2 linked regions of the Caenorhabditis elegans genome follow. The protein of the gene in region 1 interacts with the protein of each later gene in a pairwise test. Each region holds a gene or a part of one and is shown in the gene's direction. Other genes may lie near its edges.

The links. The genes of interacting proteins can lie anywhere in the genome.
Region 2: the proteins of tnc-2 (region 1) and vit-5 interact in a two-hybrid assay, tested with the Caenorhabditis elegans proteins (one large-scale study listed by BioGRID).

Annotation. Positions count from the first base shown.
Region 1 is NC_003280.10:10,464,934-10,468,533, forward strand, and holds tnc-2 (Troponin C), read left to right. Parts: upstream 1-1,918; 5' UTR 1,919-2,003; coding exon 2,004-2,006; intron 2,007-2,083; coding exon 2,084-2,197; intron 2,198-2,299; coding exon 2,300-2,381; intron 2,382-2,430; coding exon 2,431-2,552; intron 2,553-3,012; coding exon 3,013-3,174; 3' UTR 3,175-3,417; downstream 3,418-3,600. Other genes in the region: sdz-37 (SKN-1 Dependent Zygotic transcript), read left to right, coding at 1-365; clec-143 (VWFA domain-containing protein), read right to left, coding at 3,418-3,513.
Region 2 is NC_003284.9:3,401,713-3,405,548, forward strand, and holds the start of vit-5 (Vitellogenin-5), read left to right. Parts: upstream 1-1,758; 5' UTR 1,759-1,768; coding exon 1,769-2,632; intron 2,633-2,702; coding exon 2,703-2,987; intron 2,988-3,034; coding exon 3,035-3,836. Other genes in the region: C04F6.9 (Gag-pol polyprotein), read left to right, coding at 299-358, 596-667, 833-898. UniProt on the Caenorhabditis elegans protein: Precursor of the egg-yolk proteins that are sources of nutrients during embryonic development. Together with other vitellogenins, may play a role in modulating life-span, acting via induction of autophagy and lysosomal lipolysis.

The DNA of each region.
Region 1 (3,600 bases):
CTCGAAACAAGCGTCTCAACACTCATCAGAAATCTTGCCTTGATGAGCATGCTCGAAAAATGGCTGTTTTCATGATGGAGAGGCAAGAAGAGTACCGTTACTACGAGAACTTGGCCAATCAGGAACAATTCTCCGATGATGCCTGCTTCAGTGACACTGGAATGGACTCCGGATTCTGCAGTGGAGCCACTTCAACTGGACAATCAGCTTCAACTTCTCCTGCTCCAGCCCATCTCATCCCAAATCCATTTTTTGATCCAGAATATGTTGCCAAGGCTCAATCTCCAGTGAAACTCGTTGCCAATCCATTCTACAATCCAGAACTTGTCAAGGAAATCAAGAAGAAATCCCGTGTTTCAGTTTAATATTATTAATTATTTTTATTTATTTTTCCTCAAACAGTTTAGTCGGTTTTTCTGATATCCAGGTTCGGTTTTTATAATTGTACTTTTTCTTGGAAATGATTACAAAATTTCTGTCCGGTATTTTTTCTGTATTGGTTTTCTCAATTTTTAACAACTGTACTTTTACTCAATTGTTTTAATAAATTAATCAGACTAATTAAAAGTTGTTTTTCACTTCAAACGACCACGCTTTCAATACTAATTGAATACAATACATTTCTGAATAAAATTTTTTTGCTAGTTCCACCATCGAAAATTCCAATTACTCCAATTACTTTAAGCTAGTATTTTGTAGCACATTCGTTTTTTTCAAAATTTTCAGATGATTGATTGATTTATTTAACATAACTAATGCAATTTACAACTGTACAATTGAATTTTGAGTGTTAAATAAAACGGTAAAACGAGACTAACCCAGAAAGAGTACGTCTCGAGTTTGGGACGGGAAAGGAGAGAGAGGGTAATGTGGTAGAAGAGATCAGTTAGAAGTCAAAGAGAACCAGCGGATAAAAGTTAATACCGGGGAATATTGAGATCGAGAAAACTTGAAAACTGATAGGGGGAGAGAAATACCGGTATATTTTTGACAAGATTGTTCCAAATAGGAATGGATTTGGCAAAGAAATGAGAGGTGCATGTGTCTTTCCTAACCAGAATCATGGGTCTCCTATTGGAATTAGAGAACTTGACAAACTGAGTTAATTTAGAGAAATGAGTAGAACCGGTAAGAAGTCTATATAATAGTTTCATTTGAGCTTTAATTCTAGTGTGTCTGGTGGAGAATAGTTCCATGATGCACAGTCTGTTTTCGTAAGAGGTGAATTTAACGTTGCACCTTTGCAGGACGCGGTTGGTGAAGGTCCTAAGCGGTTTTTCAAGTATGGCAGAGAGTGAGGAGTTGGGGGAAGGGGAGTAGATCTCAGAGCAATAGTTTATGATGGGGGCAACGTATGTTTTAAATAAGTGGCTATAAGTTAAATAAGTGGCTATAAGTAAATAAGTGGCTATAATTAAATAAGTGGCTATAATTAAATAAGTGGCTATATAATTAAATAAGTGGCTATAATTTAAAAGTTGTTTTTCACTTCAAACGACCACGCTTTCAATACTAATTGAATACAATACATTTCTGAATAAAATTTTTTTGCTAGTTCCACCATCGAAAATTTCCAATTACTCCAATTACTTTAAGCTAGTATTTTGTAGCACATTCGTTTTTTTCAAAATTTTCAGATGATAAACTGCCCAATACTATTGGAAGTTTCTATAGTAGTAACACATTGACTTACTCTTTCCCCGAATACTTCAAAAATGCCTTCAACTGTACCCACCAATGCTCTATCAGTTTACCTATCTCCGAGCCCCCGAGTTCTACTTCTATCCGGCTGTATCCCTGCACAGTGCCTTTTTATGTCTACATCTCACACATTTTAACAGTCTGTCTCCAATATCCAAACACATCCCCCGCCGACGCATTGTGTGCTCTCGTTAGAGCTCCTCCCGCGCTGTAAGCCACTTGAGCAGTTTGTGGATTTTCCCTCTCTTTTCGCATTTTGTCGAAGAAACTTTTCCTCGTGTCGATCAGGTCAATCATCAATCATGGTAAGAGTTTTGTTTTATTGGTAATTTGTAGCTAATTATGTCTATAAATAAATCTGTGAATATGTGCAATTTTGTAGGGAGACGTCGTTGCTGATGCTTTGGAAAAGCTTTCTGCCGATCAGATCGAGCAATTCCGTAAATACTTTAACATGTTCGATAAAGAGGGAAAAGGATATATTCGTGCTACCCAGGTTTGTGGAGTTTTAATTTTGTAGCAAATTGCTGTTCAAATTGGAATTTCTTGAATTTTTCTTAAAATACTCCCAAGAAATTGTTAAACTCTGAAATTCCAGGTCGGACAAATCCTCCGTACCATGGGACAAGCCTTCGAAGAGCGTGACTTGAAACAGCTCATCAAGGAGTTCGATGCTGATGGTATACTTCCCCCACCGGCCATAAATCTACAGTACCAATCCTTTTTCAGGTTCCGGAGAGATTGAGTTCGAAGAGTTCGCCGCTATGGTTGCCAACTTTGTTGTCAACAATGAGAACGACGAAGGACTCGAGGAGGAGCTTCGCGAGGCTTTCCGTCTTTACGACAAAGAAGTATGTTTATTTGCAATTTTGGTTTCTAATATTTTTAGGGAAAATGAAAGGAGAGAAGTAAATCTTGAGAAAAATATGAAAAAAGTCAATACTTTTGTCCTATGTATTTCTTCTATTTGAAATTATGTGAATTCTGAAATTCTTTTTGAAAACTTTGTTTGTTGTAAACTAATAATTTGTTGAATTCTTGAGCATGACCTTTTTTCACGTTGTCAGCTTATATCTCGGTTTTCATTAGTTTAATCAAAAATTGTCAACTGGCAAAGTATGTACAAAATATTTCTCCAAATTCTGATAGTAATTTTTCAAAAATAGAACTAAAGACAACCAAGATAGTAGCCATCAAAGTTGAGTGATGGTTCAAGAGAAAAAATACGGTATGTCATCAATATTTCTTTTACAGTCTGAACCATTGAAATTGAAGAAAATATAATTTTAAAGCCTAAATTTTAACTTTCAGGGAAACGGATATATCAACGTCTCAGATCTTCGTGACATTCTCCGTGCTCTTGACGATAATGTTTCAGAGGAAGAGCTCGACGAAATGATTGCTGAAATTGATGCTGACGGTTCCGGAACTGTCGATTTCGATGAGTTCATGGAAATGATGTCTGGAGAATAATTTTAATTTTTATCCTACCAATGATTTCTGACGGCGCCTTACCATTCACTGACTTCCAATAATTCTTTTTGTAAAAAACAACAAATCTTACATTTTCATGCTTTCAATTTATTTGATAAAAGTTGATAAAAAAAATAAAAGAAATCTCAAAAAAATATTGTAAAAAAATTCCCATGTAGTCGACCCTTTTGATGTTAGAACAAGTAATGATTAAGAATAAAATTTATAAAATAAAATTGATCATCAATTTTCCAAATACGTAGTGTAGTATTCTGTGCTGCTTGCTTGAACTTGACAGATGAAGAGCCAATCATTGGTCTGAGGTGGAGCCCAGAAGAACTGTAACAAGATTTAAGGAAAATATTGAAGTACCGTATCAACGATATAAAAATTCATTTGTTGAAAGATATTGCAAAATTCATGTTG
Region 2 (3,836 bases), on another chromosome or scaffold:
AGCTATTTCGTGTTTCAGCTAATATCCACAAATCTTTTTGGCATCGAGAGTACGACTCATCCATTTTCGCATTTTAAAATGCTCCTTTTACTTTTCGCCCTCTGCGGTGGGTCTCGACGAACACAATTTTTCTCGTGGACGACTGAGTCATTTGCACATCCCACAATGGGTGTCCTTTCCTTTCCCTTCTTTCCTTAGTTTTTTGTACTAATTTTATGCGACCACAGCCAGATTTTTGAAAGAAGCGATCAATAATTTTTGTATTCTCATTTTTAATCATGCCGTAAATTTTCAGAAAATGGAATCGAAAACCAGTGCTGCAAAATCTACGGGAGCGATAGCCTCAGCACGAACCGAGGTAATAGCGCAGAATGTTACATGATTCAACTTTTCCATGATTAAATATCGTAATTCTGAAATTTTTTGGCATCTGAGATAAATGCACAAGCTGTTTTATTGAGTGGGTCTCGCCACAATCCAAATTCTACGGTTTTATTAGGATGTCAAAAAAAATTGTATTATTAATGTACAAACGAGAATCTCAACATTCGGATTAAAAACAACAGTTACATCTGAAAAATATCAATTTTTTCAGAATCTCAAAATCAACAAGACTTCCAGCATCGATACTACGGAAATGGTGACCGTCGAGGAAAAAGATGCATACGTAGGTTCTATTCAAAAATTAAAAACAGTGATACCTATGAAGATACTCCTTCAGATTTTTTTTGACGAATTGCCAATTGTTCATATGTGGGGAACTCAAAAATTCAAAAGCAAAAATATAAATGTTTATTAAATTTTTTTTCCCAGTAAATCAGTAAACTTTCAGGATGTTATGGTTGAACTCGCGGCGGCCTTTGGAGAAGAAAATGGTTTTGTTGAGAATTGCAAGTAAATTCAAATGAACCTCATTTAATACAATGTCAACGTGCCTGATATTTTAATATCCCGTTTTCCAATGATTTCTTTCACGACAATATTTATTTCAATTTTATAAAGCTGTCATGTGGTTATTTTTTCTTAATATAAACGCAAACATGAACGCCTTATTTCGTCCTGGCCATGTTTTGGAAAATTCAAAATTAGGTTAAAAAAACTTGTGGAAGTTGTCCTTTTTGTGAATGAAAACAATCACTTTTCAAATACATTTTTGTCAAAAGTTTCCTTAACATCAAAACTGCATCAAAGTTTGCACAATTTAAGAAGAATTGCAATGAGCCTAGTAAGTCATTTGATTAAAATGGTTGAAAAATTAGAAGGTAAGCATACAGGGAAAAAATTATAGGTGAAAGTTTTTAAAAGGTACTAAAATTGGGACATTTGCAAAACTGTCTACTGGGGACATATGTAACTTCAAATACTCTGGCTTTGTTTAGTTATCAAAGTCTTTATTTAGAGCCTTTGATACTATTTTTGAATTGAACTTTTTATTTCAACACAATCATTGGTTTCTCTCTACATAGTTATGTATCCTTAAACTACAGAAAAATTTTTAACTTCATTCAAGCAATCATTCAGAAAAACTTATAACGGTCACATATACGTCGACCACGATATGCACGTTGAATTAGAAGAGTGACAGCTGTACTCTGATCGCTACCTGAACGACATGCGCACTTCAGTTTCAACTGATAATGCGGTAAAAGTTCAGATTGACATTGACTTTATCGAATAAATCTGTTAAGATAGGATGATTTGAAGGAATAGTGTCAATTTCAGTTGCATCTATAAAAAGGGTAACGGAGAAGCCATAGTCACTCTCGCAATGAAGTCGATAATCATTGCCTCTCTTGTCGCCTTGGCGATTGCCGCCTCACCGGCTCTTGACCGTACCTTCTCTCCAAAGAGCGAATACGTCTACAAATTTGACGGACTTCTTCTCTCTGGACTCCCAACCGCATCTTCCGATGCTTCCCAAACCCTGATTTCTTGCCGTACCCGTCTTCAAGCTGTTGATGATCGTTACATTCATCTTCAATTGACTGATATTCAATACTCTGCTTCCCACATTCCACAATCTGAGCAATGGCCAAAGATCGAATCTTTGGAGCAACGTGAGCTTTCCGATGAGTTCAAGGAGCTTCTTGAGCTTCCATTCCGTGCTCAAATCAGAAATGGACTTATTTCTGAGATCCAATTCTCTTCCGAAGATGCCGAGTGGTCCAAGAACGCCAAAAGATCGATTCTCAATCTCTTCTCTCTCCGCAAGTCAGCTCCAGTTGATGAGATGAACCAAGATCAGAAAGATATGGAATCCGACAAGGATTCTCTTTTCTTCAATGTTCATGAAAAGACCATGGAAGGAGACTGCGAAGTCGCTTACACCATTGTTCAAGAGGGAGAGAAGACCATCTACACCAAATCTGTCAACTTCGACAAATGCATCACTCGCCCAGAGACTGCTTATGGTCTTCGTTTTGGATCTGAGTGCAAGGAATGCGAGAAGGAGGGGCAATTTGTTAAGCCACAAACTGTCTACACCTACACCTTCAAGAACGAGAAATTGCAAGAATCTGAGGTTCATTCCGTTTACACTTTGAATGTCAATGGACAAGAGGTCGTCAAGTCTGAGACTCGCGCCAAGGTCACTTTCGTCGAGGAGAGCAAGATCAACAGAGAGATCAAGAAGGTATTCTATTTGAAAATATATTTTACGGGCTTTTGATAGCTAACTCTAACAGCAGCACACAAGTTTTCAGGTTTCTGGACCAAAGGAGGAGATCGTCTACTCCATGGAAAACGAGAAGCTTATTGAGCAATTCTACCAACAAGGAGACAAGGCTGAGGTCAACCCATTCAAGGCTATCGAGATGGAGCAGAAGGTTGAGCAACTTCAAGAAATCTTCCGCCAAATTCAAGAGCACGAGCAGAACACCCCAGAAACTGTCCACCTTATTGCCCGCGCCGTCCGCATGTTCCGCATGTGCACCATCGAAGAACTCAAGAAGGTTCACACCACCATCTACACTAAGGCCGAGAAGAAGGTAACCAATACACATTTCATAATCACTAATATCATGCTCTCTCTTAGGTTCAACTTGTCATTGAAACCACATTGGCTGTCGCTGGAACCAAGAACACCATTCAACACTTGATTCATCACTTCGAGAAGAAGAGCATCACACCATTGAGAGCTGCTGAGCTTCTTAAATCTGTTCAAGAAACTCTTTACCCAAGTGAGCACATTGCTGATCTTCTTATCCAACTCGCCCAATCGCCACTCTCTGAGAAGTACGAACCACTCCGCCAATCTGCCTGGCTCGCCGCAGGATCTGTTGTTCGTGGATTTGCTTCAAAGACCCAAGACCTTCCATTGATCCGCCCAGCATCTAGACAAACCAAGGAAAAGTACGTTCGCGTCTTCATGCAACACTTCCGTAACGCTGACTCCACATACGAGAAGGTTCTTGCTCTTAAGACCCTTGGAAACGCCGGAATCGACCTCTCCGTCTATGAGCTTGTCCAGATTATCCAAGATCCACGTCAACCACTTTCCATCCGCACTGAGGCTGTAGATGCTCTTCGTCTTCTCAAGGACGTTATGCCACGCAAGATCCAGAAGGTTCTCCTTCCAGTCTACAAGAACCGCCAAAACAAGCCAGAGCTCCGTATGGCTGCTCTTTGGAGAATGATGCACACCATTCCAGAAGAACCAGTTCTTGCTCACATCGTTTCCCAAATGGAAAACGAATCCAACCAACACGTTGCTGCCTTCACCTACAACGTCCTCCGCCAATTCTACAAATCCACCAACCCATGCTACCAACAATTGGCTGTTCGTTGCTCTAAGATCCTTCTCTTCACCCGTTATCAACCACAAGAACAGATGCTCT